4 linked regions of the Oryctolagus cuniculus genome follow. The protein of the gene in region 2 interacts with the protein of the main gene of each other region in a pairwise test. Links are inferred from orthologs where the notes say so. Each region holds a gene or a part of one and is shown on either strand. Other genes may lie near its edges.

Region 1 (4,136 bases), on a different chromosome or scaffold from region 2:
AGGAGCATGGCCCTGTCTCCATCCCCACTCCCTTGGGTGGGGTCCTGGGCCTCAGAGTCCAGGCTCTCAGAGGGGCCTCCTGGGCACACAGGGATGGAGTCACCCTCGGGTGCCTGGAAGGCCCACCTCTCAGGGTTTGGATGCTGGGCTGTAGCCCACCAGCCTTGATGTTCTCAGCTGGTTCCACTGTGCCATCCTAGCCTCCTGCCTGGAGTCATCAAGAGTGGTAAAGGATAACACATGGAGGCTGGATGGACTTCTTGAGTTTGATTTAAAAAAAATGGGACTCTGAGAACCAGGGCGTACTATGACAGGTGTCAGCCAAAGAAATCAGGGAGATGGAGGGAGGTGGGGGGGAAGGGAGAGAGAATGAGCACAGGGTTCAGAGACAGGTGTCAATGGCCTAGGGAGCTGTGGCAGCGGTAGGAATGGAGGTGAGGAAATGAGTATGGCTGAGCGGGACAGGCGAGAGCAGAGAGAGGTGAGTGGCTGTAACTGCTCAGCAGGAGGCGGTGATGAGCAGCAGGGAGGCAGGGCTTCAGGACCCAGGGGAGGGGCCAGGGAGAAGACAGGCACAATGCCTCCTGAAGCTGTCAAGTGCATCCCTGCCCAGCCTGCAGAAGCCTCAGGTGTGGACAAGGTGTTCAGTAGCCAGGGATCCATGCCCAGCTGCCAGGCCCAGCAGCCTGGTCTTCCTGCTAAACTATCTGCCTCTGGTCCTTTCTCCTCACTCTCCCCAGTTCAGGCCTGGTCCCCTTGCCCCTGGATTCTCACTGTCTCTCCTGGCAAGTCTCCTAGCTTCCCTTCCTGCTCCCGCAGGCCATTCTGCACATTGGAATCACCTGAACAGGATGGGCCTTATACAATTCTGATGCCCAGGTGGTACCCCAGGCCAATAACATTCAGAGTTTTGGGGAGGCAGTGGACCAGGCTTAGGTATTTTTAAAGATCCCTGCATGATTGCAAATGCATAGAAATTTGGGAACCACTGATGCCAAAGCCACTTTCCCAAAGCAGCAGTTTCATCCCTCCTGGAATGGGCTCTGTGGCTCTCCGTGGCTGGTGCTTGGAGAACGGGCGTGTCCAGAGAGAGGGGTGTGGCCACTGCTTTCCACACCTTGGAACCTCTGGACTTGCCACTAGAGTCCCTGGATTCCCGCAAGCACCAGAGAGGGCCGTGCACGGAAACTCATGTTTCCTACGCCCCTACCAAGCACCTAATCTCAAGATGGATCTTACATTCTTGCCCTGAGTCCACCAAACCTTTGTTGGTAGAATTGCTGATGCAGCCTTGAAGGCCTTCAGACTTGCTTCCTATTGTTCAGCCTCTCCTAGTCCACTCATCTCACAGTGCTGAGTAAGTCTGTCCTTACCAGGCTCCTCTCACAGGGACAGAAGAAGACTGACTCGGTAGAGTAGGAAGAGGTTATACAGTGCTTAGTGGGGATGACTAATGCCCCCAGTGAGCACCTGGAGGCCCAAAGCACCATGACTTCTCCATGGGAAAGTCGAGGAGGCCAACGGGAGTTCAGATGTGTCTGGGGCACTCAGGTGAATACAGGTCATCAGGCTCAAAACTGGTCCTTGGAAATTCTTACTTTTCCAAGAAACATTGCATATATCAAGAGTTCACAGTAGCAGGGGGAAGAGCGATTTATATTTTTATGTCACCTATCAGGTTACAAAGCACATGCAAAGAGCCCTCAACAAATTCATGGAAAATGCGGATCATGAACAACTTTGCACCCAAATCAACTTATGTCTGAACTCTACTGTCCATGAATTTCACATCAGTCCTCACAGGGCCTCTCCATTTTGCAACACAACACTTGAAATTTAAAATAATGGCTTCTGGGTTCAAATCCTGACTCTGCATCATGCTAGCTGTGTCAACCCAGGTGGCTTCACCTCTCAAAGGCTCTGTTGCTGGGTCCAGTGGGCTCAGGGAGAGGAGGGTTCCCCAGGGTCTCCCATGCAGTGCCTGGCAAGTTGCTTAAGCACTGAGTATTGGCTCTGAGTACTTTGCACCCATGAGAGAGTTGTGGTTCAGAAGAGTGCTGTAAGCATTCACACCTTATGGATTTTCAATTTGGAAGTTAGAGTCTATACTGGTTAGTATACTAGGATATACTTAATTGCTACATGGTTAGTATATGAGGATATACTCAATTGCTACAAAATTCCTGGCTTCCTTTTCCCACAGAGAGAAATGAACCCAGGGGTTACCAGCCCACCCTGTGGGCCCCCAGCTGGCACTGAGTTCCCAGTTTTCACTTACGAGGTGCGGATGCTCTTGAGACGGCCCTTGCGGAAGGTGATGGTGGCATTGCGACAGCAGCGGCTCTCATAGTAGTAGCACTTGAGATTGCTGCTGGTCGTGCAGCAGCATTTGCAGTTGGGATCATTGGCCCAGGAGCAGCAGCACCAGTGGCAGTTGGGGTTATCGGAGCAGGTGCAGTGGCAGAACTGGCAGTTCCGCTCATCCTTGTATGGGCAGGGGAAGCAGGTGCAGTTCCTCTCCGAGGTGAAGATGAACTTGCAGCACAGACAGGAGCATAGCTGAGGACAACATCTTTGCCATGTACAACATGGCGAGCAAACGCACATAGCAGTCTCCATGGCCCCTACATGATTACCACGTCCCCACCGTGGCTCTTGGTGTCTCCTCTACCAGAATCCTGCTGCCAGTTCTCAGTGGAGGTGTCCCTCCTCCCCCAACCCAGTGAGGCCGTCAGCCTGAGAGTTGCAAGAAGTTGGCTGTTAGGAGGCTCTCACCAGTGGTGTCCCTGCCAGGAAGCTCATGGGTTAGCACGTGCATGAGGCCATTTGCTGATGTCACAATCACTGGGTCCTTGCAGTGTCTCACCACGCTGTGGAGCTGGCAGGTGAAGCCTGGAGTGGTTAGCAGGTGAGTTGATGGATACTCCCCTCATGCCTCCGTCGGACCAGCTCCAGGGGAGCTGTCCTTGGTCCCCTTCCTGGTTGTGGGGTAGATTTCAGAAGCTATTTCTTCTTGCTTGGTGTTTGCCCGTAGTTTGGGCAAGCTGATTTCAGGGAATGTCTTCCCAGACTGAGAAGCCTGGCATGACTAATTGGAAAAGTAGATGGACATAATTTTCCTCTCCTGGGTTTTTCCTGCATGATAGAACTCCTTACAGTGTTTACAAATAGCAACAAGGAGGACAGCACGGAAGGAGGTGTCACCATTTGTGGAAAGAACTAAAGGAGCAGAAGACACCGCTTCCTTCAGGAGCTTCTTTTGAAAGTCATTGCTCTTGCCCATCACTGCATAATGACTGGTCTGTTTCATGAGGCTTCGCAGAAACCTCCGAATGTTTTTTGCCAATTCTGCAGCTTCAAGGGGTTTGACCAAGTCTTAGGCTTTACTTCCTTTCCCCCACCCTACTATCAGTCCTCTAGGTCCTGTTAATCAAGAAGTTATAATGCTACATGAGCTTTATACTTTTGTGCTAGCAGTGTGCTCCAGATACCTGGAAACAAGACCCTAATGGGGTGAATTTCGTTTCCACTTGATGCAGCTTGCAAAGGTTAAAAGAGCAAAGTGTTCATGACCACGCCGCATGACGGTATGAAGGCTGCAGTATTACTTTTCCAAAAAGAACTGAAGGCTGAGTTTGGCTGCTCGAGCCGATTGCATAATCCATGATCTCTCCCCATGATGATCGTCTTCATAATAGGAAAGAACGTTTACTGAGTGCTAATGGTGCCAGCCACACACCGATTTTAAGTTTCTAGAAATGAGAGGGCTGGATCATAGGGTATGTGCTTTATCTTTTTTGATAGATGCCACTAAATTGCCTACTCAAATAAATGTGCCAGTTCATACTGACACCAGTAATGGATGAGAGACATCTTTCCCACACATTTGCTCAAACTCAATTTTATCTGCCTTTCTCCCTAGGCTCCAGGCCCAGAGGTCCAAATGCCATTCTTGGGTTCATGGTATATTTTCATTACTGGTCTCTGTGAAGTCCCCTCTTTTTAGAAATTGTTATTGACATTACAATTCACTTACCATTAAATTTACCATGAACAATTGAATAGTTTTCAGTATAATCATAAAACTGTGCAGCTGTCACCAAGACCTAATTCCAAAACATTTTCATCACCCCAAA
Region 2 (3,943 bases):
TACTAATGTATAACAGTCCTCTACATCTGGCTACTCAAAGCGCAGCCGCGAACCAGCTCCATCAGCGTCACCAGAGAGCCCGTTAGACACGCGGAATCTCAGGTCCTACCTCAAACCTATAGCATCAGAATTTGTATTTTAGCAAGATTCCCAGGGACACTCACAAGAAGCACTGCGCTACTGAGACTGAGCTCCCTGAAGGTGAGGAGTGCTTTGTCCATCTGGGACCCCCAGCTTCAAGCACAGGGCCTGACACAGAGCAGGTTAAATCTACATGACAGAATGTCAGAACACGCAGGAAAACAGGGTCAGTACCAAGGGAAACCATAGGAAAATCTTCATGGTGATCAGAGCTATGGCAGGGGGAAACCAGGTCACAAGTTGAACCCTTCTCCTGGAGAGCCCATCCTGGCCATCCCATCCTCTCTGGAAGTGTGCGCCCTCTCCAGCTTATCCTTGCCCATTTAGGCAAGAGATGTCAGTGACAACTGCTTGATGCCAAGGCTGAATTTGGGGATTTCCAACCCTCCTGCCCTCATAGTCCCAAGCCTGGGATGTGAGGAGCGGAGTAGTAGTAACTATCATTCCTGTTGCGAGACACTTACTGAGGGTTATGTAACACTGTTACCGTTCCCACTTTACAGATGAACAAACTAAAGGACAGACATGTCAGGTAGACTGCCTGAGCTCCCACAACTAGTTTAGTCTAGCTGGGATTTGAATTAGCCTCGCAGTTCATGCACTAAATATTAGGCACTATTACATGTATTTTTACAGCTACAGAAAACTAGGATCCAACAGGCTAATTGGTCGAGGTCACACAGCAGGTAGGTTACTAAGACCCCCTGTCTAGAAACTGGCAGTGAGGTTCGTGAGCAGGGCTTGGAAGGTCACCGGCCCCTCCCGGGGCCGCCCTCAGGGATGGGCCATAGTTGGGCGCATTCTGGACCCAGCGCACGGGAGGTATGAGGCCTCCTACCTCGGACATTGGGAGATAGAGGTCCTGGGGGCCTCGGGCCGAGCCCGGCTTTGCTCCCCCCTTGGCGCAGACGCCTGCGTCTTGACCCCTACTGAAGGCCAGGTAGGGAACCTTCACCCGGGTCCCGCGACCCGTGCACCTGCAGGCCTAGCCCGCCCCCGGCCTCTCGGTTCCGCGCCCCCACATCGTCGGGATGCCCAGCGGTTGCTAGGATACCGCGGGCCGTTACGCCGGCGCGGACTGATGACGTAGACGCCGCTTCCGGCTTCTGGCTGAGTTCCCTCCCGGGCCAGGTCAGTGGGACGTCCGAGCTGATCGATCCCGGGCTCCGCGCTCTGAGGTTGGGGGTGGGTTCTGCAAGAGGTGGGCCGGAGGCTCGCACCTCCTCGGGAACTACTCTATGCCCGCCCTCCTTTGGGGACCGACGGGCGTGGGAAAGGGCCCGCCCAAAGGTGGACTGGGGTTGGAGGAAGTGGCCTGGGGCTTTAAGGCACCTGACTGCGGCCTTTTTGGAGCTGGCGTTGTCAGGACCCTTTTTCCCTACACGGAGATCCAGGTTCCGAGACCTGAGCCTAAGCTCTCCGCGCTGGTCCTTCAGGGGTCGTGAGGATTGTGCCGGACCCGCGACTCTGCCGTTTGTTTTCCTTCCAGCATGAGCCACTGGGCCCGCGGCGCCTCGCCCGGAAGAGCCCACTCACCCTGGACCAGTCCCCCGGCAGCTGCAGCCCGTCCTTGAGGAGGATGTTTGAGACATTATGGGCCACGCGCTTTGTGTCTGCTCTCGGGGAACGGTCATCATTGACAATAAGCGTTACCTCTTCATCCAGAAACTGGGGGAGGGGTGAGTGTTTGGAAATCACCTAATCCCCAGGGTTATGGTCGTGGAGGACCGGCGTTCTGCACGGGACAGAGGCAGAAGGGTTTTATCCCTAACCTCTGGGTCACCTGATGGCATCTAGGTGCCTGGTAGTCCAGAGAGTGGGTTCTGGAGCCCCGCCTCCTAGAGCCACATCCGCTTGTCCTTGATAAGCCATTGATTTCTTCCTCCACTAAATGGAGATGCTTATCCCGCCTCACTGATGGCGTTGTGAGGAGTAAATGAGGTCATGGGTTTAGACCGCCCCACACAGTGCATGGTTCATAAGCACCTGATACAGGTGCACAGCGCTGTGTTATGCCCACGTCCACCTCCCCGGTCTCCCTGTGCCTGCTTTGGGGGAGCTCAAGGTGTAACAACCTTCAGCCTTCTCTTAGAGCCGCATCTTGGGAGGGTTTTTACTGAATGGGAGAGACACTGCCGTCTCCCAGAAAAGTCCTCTGAATCCAAGCCCTGTGGGAGATGACCGTGGCCCTTCACTGACCCCTTTGGCCCACAGTGGGTTCAGCTATGTGGACCTAGTGGAGGGGTTACATGATGGACACTTCTACGCCCTGAAGCGAATCCTGTGTCATGAGCAGCAGGACCGAGAGGACGCGCAGCGGGAAGCAGACATGCATCGCCTCTTCCATCACCCCAACATCCTGCGCCTCGTCGCTTACTGCCTGAGGGAGCGAGATGCTAAGCACGAGGCCTGGCTGCTGCTGCCCTTCTTTAAGGTCAGAAATGCTCCTGGCGTGGAGAGGGTTGCCACAGAGCCACCCGCCAGGGGCTGTGTGAGCAGTCAAACGAGCCGGCCAGCGGGGGTCCTGGCCGCTTCAGACTTGAGCTTTAGAGGAGCCCATGTGGGAGTGGGGGGTTTGAGGTCTAGGTGATCGGAGGAGGGCAGATGGGCATTGACGTAGGCACACGATCAGGCCCAGAGACCAGAGGCTCCGGCACCGTCTCCAGCTGTGGGGAAACTCTTGTTGCAGAGAGGGACGCTGTGGGCTGAGATAGAAAGGCTCAAGGACAAGGGCAACTTCCTGACTGAGGATGAAATCCTGCGGCTGCTGCTGGGCATCTGCAGAGGCCTGGAGGCCATTCATGCCAAGGGCTATGCCCACAGGTCAGTGGGAGGGCCCTGTGTGCTCAGGGGGCCCAGGAGCAAGAACCTCACCAAGAGAAAGGGGAGGGCTCTGGGCTCTGCTCTTCTCCCTGTGATCAGCCCCCCGCCCCCCCCCCCCCAGGATTCCAGCTTACATGTCCTTTCTATTTCTCTGCAGGGACCTGAAACCCACCAACATCTTGCTTGGCGATGAGGGACAGCCAGTGTTAATGGATTTGGGTTCCATGAATCAAGCATGCATCCATGTGGAGGGCTCCCGCCAGGCCCTGACCCTGCAAGTAAGAGCCTCGGGTTCCTTTGCCCACCTGTTCCGCACCCTGACCCCTTCTGTTACGTGCCCCAGTTCGGTCACTTGACCCTGGCCTGTGCCCTGCTTTTGAGCTCTGAGGCCACCGTTCTAGGACTGGGCAGCCCAGCGGTGCACCATCTCCTACCGGGCCCCGGAGCTCTTCTCCGTGCAGAGTCACTGTGTTATTGACGAGCGGACTGATGTCTGGGTGAGGAGCATGTGGGCGGGAATCTGCGTGGGGAGGGGCGTGGCTCGGAGGTGCTGTCAGGCAGAGAAGTAGGTCTTTGGTTTCTGTTGCAAGGGGCCCCGGGAACCGCAGCTTGTTGCCATCTCTCTCAACTTCCTTCCTGCAAACTGTCACTGATACTGAAGGAAGTGGTCTCCCTCCCATGAAGTGAGGGCTGCAGAGGTGCCCAGCTCTCTGGGGGTTTCTCTGGGCCCTGGGAGCTCTGTGTGGCTCAGGTTGGCCTATTCTGTTTGGCTTGTGTGGTCTCCTTTCCCCTCAAAAGAAAGGGAAAAGATGCCATCCCCTTTGATCTTTCAGGGACTAACCAAGTTACGTTCAGTCCCTAGGCTGTGTGCTCTATGCCATGATGTTTGGGGAAGGCCCTTATGACATGGTGTTCCAGAAGGGTGACAGCGTGGCCCTGGCTGTGCAGAACCAACTCAGCATCCCGCAGAGCCCCAGGT
Region 3 (4,310 bases), on a different chromosome or scaffold from region 2:
CAAGGGTCTCCACAAATCACCAGTTGTAAAAAATGAGGGGGAGGGGGGCTGGCGCTGTGGCGCAGTAGGTTAATCCTCCACCTGTGGAGCTGGCATCCCATAGGGCGCTGGTTCTAGTCCTGGCTGCTCTTCTTCCTATCCAGCTCTCTGCTATGGCCTGAAAAAGCAATGAAGGATGTCCCAAGTCCTTGGGCCCCTGCACTCACTTGGGAGACCCAGAAGCAGCTCCTGGCTCCTGGCTTTGGATCGGCGCAGCTCTGGCCTTTGTGGCCAATTGGGGAGTGAACCAGCAGAAGGAAGGCCTTTCTCTGTCTCTCCCTCTCACTATCTATAACTACCTCTCACAAAATCTTTTAAAAAGGGGGAGGGGGGCAGGTATTTGGCCTAGTGCTTTGCATGTCAGTTAAGAAAACATGTCCCAGGCACTGTGGTGTAGCAGGTAAAGCCGCTGCCTCCAACTCTTCCATCCCATGTGGGCATTGGCTCAAGTCCCAGCTGCTCCACTTCTAATCCAGCTCCCTGCTAATGGCCTAGGAAAAGCAGAAGATGGCCCAAGATCCCAGCCCCTGCTACCCACTTGGGAAAAGCTCCGGCTCCTACCTGGTCCAGCCCTGGCCATTGTGGCCATCTGGGGATGAAAGAATCAGTCTCTCCCTCTCTTTCCCCCTTTGTGTAGCTCTTTCAAATTAATAAAAAAATTTTAAAAAAGTATTCCATATCAGAATGCCTGGATTTGATATTCATCTCTGGCTCCCAACTCCAGCTCCTTGAAATTCAGATCCCAGCAGCAGCAATGATGATTCAAGTACTTGAGTCCCTGCCAACCACGTGGGAGACCAGACTCATCTGGTTACTGATACTTGAAATAAGCTAGTACAATTATAACAAGTTATGATTGTATTTCCTTTTAATTCATCGACATCGACATGAAATTGCTACATGTGGTTACTCTACTAGATAGCACAACTCCAAGTCTTGTATCTCTAATCCATTGTTGGCATGTTACTAACCTTAACAAGCAAAAAACATTCGTTCAAAAAGATATTTTGATAGCTATATGGAGAGAAATGTTTCAGTATTAAAAACACACAGTTGGAAATCATGGTTTCTGCTTTCCCAGAGTACACAGTCCATGGGAGCTGTGAAGCAGGCAGGCACAATCAGAAACAAGTAACACAGAGCAGGGTCTCTTTGACAGGGCCCTACAGAGCTGGGCTAATGGGAACCTTGCAATAGAAACAGGGCCTTAAAGGTCGGGCAGCAGGAAGAGGGACGTAGGCAATTGGGAGAAAGGAAGGGCGATGGTAAGGAACAGGGAGGGCCAATCAGAAGACCCAAAGCCAGCTGGAAGAGTGGTTCCAAGCAAAGAAATCACAGTGGGTAAAGCTAGCAAGGTGTTAGGGGCAGTTTCCAAACCTAACAAAAAAGAGCCAGGCAAAGAACCATTCTAAGAAAGATCGCGAAGAGGAAAGGACCAGACTCTGGAAACAGTTAAATGATGGTTCACATGCGAGGGGCAGCTAGTGGGAGACGGCTCCAAGCGGAGGGTCACGAGGCAGCCAGACGCATCAACAAGCACGGAGACTGAAATCGAAGAACAGAAAAGGCTGGGATGTGAGGTCCAAACCGGAGACTCCCGATTGAAACCAAGAGGGGGAGAAGGAAAGGAGAACACACTCCAGGACAGTCTCCACGTCTGAGAGAATTTTTGCAGGAACAGAAGGGAATAGAGGCAGAGAAGGGGCATCCAGGTAAGTCAGGCGCCTGCCGGGGGCAAGAGGAGATGTCTCACTGTGTACCCTCTTCATGAGCTTTCCTGCCATCCCATCTGTGCAAAGATGGAAGCACTGTCTTACACATTTCTATCCCAAACACTGTGCCTGGGCCCCTGCTGCCCACGTGGGAGAACCAGGTTAAACTCCTGACTTTGGCCTGGCTCAGCCCAGGTGGTTGTCGTCATTTGGGGAATGAATCAGCAGATGCAAGATCTCGGTCTCTGGCTCTCCTTGTCTCTGTAATTCTAACCTTCAAATAAGTTAATAAAGTAAAAGTCACTTTAAAATTTTTTTAAAGAAATTATCTTCCCAACCTGGGTCCTTAAAGAAGCACCCTAGCACAAAAGAAGCAAAGCTGGCCTGTGTTTTCGGTCCATGACACTCTCTGGGCTGCAAGGAAGAGATACAAGCTGTGCCAGGGCTGGGCCCACTTTCAACCTTCCTGCAGCTCTGACACAAGGAAAGCCCTGGGAACAGCTCCATTCACCTGCTTCAATTCAAGCCCAGCACATGAAGTGCTGGCTGCAGGCGCTGCAAGCTGACAACAGCGACAGGTGGGTGAGTCCACCTGCGCTCCTAGCTAAGCCGCAGGCTGAGGCCCCAGCCCCGCTTTGTGGGAAACGCCCTGCCTGGCTCCGGAGTCGGAAAAGCCAGGCTTCCCCAGCCTTGCGCTGGGCGCAGCCTCCTTACCCGCAAGAGCACAGGTCGCAGATGCACTTCCTCTTCACAGGGGCCATCCTGAGGCCCTGATGTCCCCTCAGAGCACCCCCAGCGGCAGCTGCTTGTAGACCCCAACAGCCCAGGAGGGAGCACGCTAAATCTCAAGGGCCTTGGCAGAGATTCTGAACATTCACACGAAAGAAAACCAAGTGGCCCTCTTGTAAAGTCTTGTCCTCCGTTCCCTTCCCGGAGCTGGCCTTGCGCGCCGAGGGAGCAGCACGGAGCCTGGGGGGGCCTCTCCCTGCACACCGCCCGGTCCCACTAGCCTGGTGCGGCCTCCCCAGCCCCTGGAAGCCCCAGGGCCCGGGATCACGGGTCCTCTATGACATCACCAAAGCCAGGAGGAGCACGCCTTGAGATGGTGGTGACATCACAAACACCGCTTGTGAGGTCGGGAAGCTCCCGGCACCTCCCTTGGGGGGCCCAGGACACAGTCTCCCCAGCGGACTTTGGGGAAAGCTGGAGAAACATTGGAGGGAAAGCTGCTGGGTGCTGCCATGCGCAAACGCCACGGTCAATTGTCCTAAGAGGCCGAAAACTCTCCTGCGGCGTGTGGAGTGGCGTTTTCTACTTCTAGGATCCACGGGTGCCCCGCCGATGGAAGTGCACCCCTTGACCTCCAGAAGGCCGAGCCCTGAGTACCGTTTCCAGATCTTCCTGTGGAAACCCACTCTCTAGCCTCAGGGGTCAAAGCCGCCGTTCCCCACAGTTCTGAGCGCTGGAGGACGAGGCCCTTTATGAGCGCAGGCTTTCACGGCTCACGTGGGTGCTCAATCCCTTCTCCAGGTGTAGGTAATGATGCCTTGGAGCAGCGCATCTGAGAGTTTAGTGGGCATCAGAACCACCCGGCTTGATTAAAAACCAGCTGCTGGGGGCTCCGCGCCGGGCAGGTCTGGAGTGGGCTGAGAATGGGCATTCCTTACAAGTCCTCTTGCTGATGCTGCTTGCCAGGGACCACACTCAAGAACCATGGTTCTAGAGATTCTTTGGCCCTCTCCCAGCAGCCTTCCCCCAACGACAGTGTTGCTTCCACTTGCCTGGCCCTGAGAACCATGGGAAGGAAGGAAACACCGCTTAGAAAGCAAGTTTGACACTTTTTCCCTCCAGGATGTAAGATACTTTTACAGCTCTGTTGTTAACACTTTTGGCTGTCTTCTTGCTTCAGTTAGGAATGCTTTGATGGTCAATTCTTCCCTGTTGATAGATACGTGATTTCCTAACATGAGATTTTATAAAAGAGGCTTTTTTAGGATGGCTTAAAGGACGGTATGTGAGCCCTAATTTGAGAATTACCCAACCTTGCTCCTGCTAGTGTGAGTCAGGGAGATCCTGTGGCCTGCTCTCGGCAGCTCTCCGTGGCCTGAAGGAGAAAATGCGCTTTTCCTTAAGGCAAGTGAATCGTGCCTTTTCCACGGCTCGGACCAGACCCTTTGTTCTTCACAGTACAAGGCCTGCTTGTTGGACATTCTGGGGGAATGGCTGTGATACTTGGTATTCAGTTGGCTGCATTACTGATGTGTGTGATTTTTAAACACTTGAAATATCAGACAATGTTGCATGTTTTAGAAACACATTTCATCCCTTCAGCTACCCAGGACCAGCGCTATTTAAGACATTAGTTACAAAATAAAGCTACCGACTATGTACCTATTCAGACATCAAAATGTAATGTTTCTCAGTGTTGTGGAAGAGGGAAGATTATGCTGGAGAAGGTGAAACTGTGCTGATTGGAAAGCTGACAAGGATGGAGAAAGAATCGAAGAGAGTGAATTACATATGAACTGTGCTAATGGTAACTAGATTTTTTTAACTGTA
Region 4 (2,760 bases), on a different chromosome or scaffold from region 2:
TGTCAATATATATATATATATATATATATGGAGGAAAAATTGGAAGATGAGATGTCCTTGGAAATTTTCAGATATCTTTCAAAATTTTGATGTGAGAGTTTATAGATGTTTATAGGGAGGGTAACCATAGGACATTTTACAAAATAAATGCCAAGAATTAGATCCATTTTGAAAAAAATATTCATTAATTTTCTGTTGCTATAACCAACTGTGTGAAGTAACTGATTTGTGAAGAAAATAGGTTTATTTAACTCACAGTTCTGGAAACCCAGGAGCATGGTACCAGCTTCCGCTTGATTCTGGTAACTGTCTCATGGCATCATGCAGAGTGTGTGTGAGTGACCACACGAGGGGCAGAGAATCAGAGACGGGAAAGGAGCCAGTCTTGCTCTTTTTATAACACTTTACTTTCATGAGAACTAATCAGGGTCCTACAAGAACTTCCAAAGACAGCACCCGCAATGATCTTCCACTAGCACACCCTTATCAACGTTTCCTCCACCTCCCAACTGCTGCACTGGAGATGGAGCTTCCAGCGCAAGAACCCCTGGGGAGCATTCTCAAACCATATTAAACCAGAGAAAACAGTTTTGAAGACTTAAATGAGGTTGGACCATCCATCCCCAGGGTTTGGGCTCAGGAAAATCCTGCCTTTCCCTCTGCTATTGCTCCTTGTTTCCTATCTCATCTAAATCACATCTACTACATTTTTTCCCTATGCTTACATCCATATCATTCTCTTTTTTGTTTTCACATCATTTTTCTGAATAGTAAATTTGTTCTATATGTTTGTGCAAGATGCTGTTCATTCCTGGTCATCTCTCAATTCCTTTGCCTTGGTTTTATGTGGCATATCTAGACTAAACATAGTAAACACTGATGATAAGTAACAGATGGAAATTATATTGGAGGATTTGAAACAACGCTTTGATGGTGAGGGAGTCTTTAAAAGGTTCCTTATTAAGACCAGATTTCTTCCTCTCAGTCAAGGACCAAGAGGGAGATGGCTGCTTTACAGTCCTCACCCTAGGAAGAAAGAATTCTCCAGCCCAAACAGGAGCAGATTTACATGTCATAGCCTGGGAAAAAACAGGGGCTTTCCTGGCTGTGATGGAGTAGACACTAATTACATACAGTCATAGCATTTATAGCATAAGTGTATTTCACTGACACAGAGCTGTAAAAACAAAAGGAGTTCACCCATAAATACAACATGAAGGGTGTTAGTTTGCTGCAATTACAAAGAAGTTTTACTGAGTGACGTATATGCAAATGAGGGAGTCTAACTATGGAAAAGATGACATTGTAAGTAAAGGGCCACACCCATTGCTGAGAGCATATAAATGTCCCAGTGACAAGTGACATCCAAACTCAGAACCTTCTCCCACCTCCAGTCACCATGCCCTACAACTGCTGCTCTGGAAACTCCTTCTCTCAGTCCTTTGGGGGCTACCTGCGCTACCCAAGGTCTTCCTGTGGCTCTTCCTACCCAAACAACTCGTTCTACAGTGCAGGACTCCAATGTCCCAGCACATGTCAGCCGGGCTCCTCTTTGTACAGTGGCTGTCAGGAGCCTGGCTGTGAGCCCACCAGCTGCCAGACTTCCTATGTGGTGTCCAGCCCCTGCCAGACGTCCTGCTACCGCCGGAGGACCTCCACACTCTGCAATCCCTGCAGGACAATTTACACGGGGTCTCAGGGCTTTGGATCCAGCAGCTGCAACTCCCTGGGCTGTGGATCTAGAAGCTCCTATTCCCTGAGCTGTGGACCAAGGAGCTGCCACTCCTCAGGCTGCGGATCCAGTGGTTTCAGACCCCTGGGTTATAGAGTCCATGGCTTTCCTTCACTGGGTTATGGATCTGGGTTCTGCCGCCCATCCTGCTCAGCCTCTAGGACCTGCCAGTCTTCTTGTTTCCAGCCAACCTGTTGGTCTGGATCCGGCGTCTGTTGATCATCTTATTAAGTTTCTAACGCCATTGACCAATGTCTTTAATGCCTCTATTAATAATTGTTATAGTCTTCCTATTTAGCTTCCTATTTTCTGATTATCAGTTTCTCACCCTGTCTCTGGCATCAAATCCTGGCTGACAGACTTCATCTGAAAATCTGTAATTTGTGTACTAACTCAAAATAAAGTCTAAAGTCTTCATTGGAGATAAAATTTATGTTATAGGATAACTACTCATTATTGTTTGAAAAAACAAATTTTTACTCAATAAATGCATTGATTCTGATTTAAATCTATATTAGATTTGTTTCATTATTTATTTGGTTCTAAAATATTAAAGAAATCATTATGAAATTATCAATGTATCTATACAGATTGGTTTTGAAAATCAATGAGGTGAGGGGCCAGCACTGTGGCATAGTGGGTAAAGCTGCCACCTGCAGGGCAGGCATCCCATATGGACGCCGGTTTGAGTCCCAGTTGCTCCACTTCCGATCCAGCTCTCTGCTATGGCCTGGGAAAGCTGGAGAAGATGGCCCAAATCCTTGGGCCCCTGCTCCCATGTGGGAGAGCTGGAAGAATCTCCTGGCTCCTGGCTTAGGATCGGCTCAGCTCCAACCATTGTGGCCATTTGGGGAGTGAACCAGCAGAGGAAGACCTATCTCTCTCTTCCTCTGCCTCTCTGTAACTCTGCCTTTCAAATAAATAAAGAAATCTTTAAAAAAAAATCAATGAGGTGAGTAAACTGACCAAACTTTTGGAGGCCTCAGATATTTTTATTACTCAAACTACAGGTAGGGGTTGACGTTGTG

Evidence for each region. The genes of interacting proteins can lie anywhere in the genome.
Region 1: the proteins of STK16 (region 2) and TRIM42 interact in binary tests that used the Homo sapiens proteins (3 or more experiments, as listed by UniProt). The two-hybrid records come from large-scale screens. The link is inferred for Oryctolagus cuniculus from reciprocal best matches to the Homo sapiens genes STK16 and TRIM42.
Region 3: the proteins of STK16 (region 2) and SAXO1 interact in binary tests that used the Homo sapiens proteins (3 or more experiments, as listed by UniProt). The two-hybrid records come from large-scale screens. The link is inferred for Oryctolagus cuniculus from reciprocal best matches to the Homo sapiens genes STK16 and SAXO1.
Region 4: the proteins of STK16 (region 2) and keratin-associated protein 13-1 interact in a two-hybrid assay, tested with the Homo sapiens proteins (2 studies listed by BioGRID). The two-hybrid records come from large-scale screens. The link is inferred for Oryctolagus cuniculus from reciprocal best matches to the Homo sapiens genes STK16 and KRTAP13-1.

The regions. Positions count from the first base shown.
Region 1 is NC_091435.1:141,105,252-141,109,387, forward strand, and holds the start of TRIM42 (tripartite motif-containing protein 42), read right to left. Parts: upstream 2,809-4,136; 5' UTR 2,620-2,808; coding exon 2,279-2,619; intron 1-2,278.
Region 2 is NC_091434.1:20,221,870-20,225,812, reverse strand, and holds the start of STK16 (serine/threonine-protein kinase 16), read left to right. Parts: upstream 1-1,136; 5' UTR 1,137-1,272; exon of another isoform or gene 1,273-1,535; intron 1,536-1,630; 5' UTR 1,631-1,734; coding exon 1,735-1,820; intron 1,821-2,355; coding exon 2,356-2,575; intron 2,576-2,830; coding exon 2,831-2,964; intron 2,965-3,121; coding exon 3,122-3,242; intron 3,243-3,365; coding exon 3,366-3,461; intron 3,462-3,819; coding exon 3,820-3,941; intron 3,942-3,943. UniProt on the Homo sapiens protein: Membrane-associated protein kinase that phosphorylates on serine and threonine residues. In vitro substrates include DRG1, ENO1 and EIF4EBP1. Also autophosphorylates. May be involved in secretory vesicle trafficking or intracellular signaling.
Region 3 is NC_091432.1:182,004,862-182,009,171, forward strand, and holds the start of SAXO1 (stabilizer of axonemal microtubules 1), read right to left. Parts: upstream 2,809-4,310; 5' UTR 2,513-2,808; coding exon 2,466-2,512; intron 1-2,465. UniProt on the Homo sapiens protein: May play a role in the regulation of cilium length. Stabilizes microtubules at low temperature.
Region 4 is NC_091435.1:14,994,604-14,997,363, reverse strand, and holds keratin-associated protein 13-1, read left to right. Parts: upstream 1-1,370; 5' UTR 1,371-1,399; coding exon 1,400-1,951; 3' UTR 1,952-2,252; downstream 2,253-2,760. UniProt on the Homo sapiens protein: In the hair cortex, hair keratin intermediate filaments are embedded in an interfilamentous matrix, consisting of hair keratin-associated proteins (KRTAP), which are essential for the formation of a rigid and resistant hair shaft through their extensive disulfide bond cross-linking with abundant cysteine residues of hair keratins.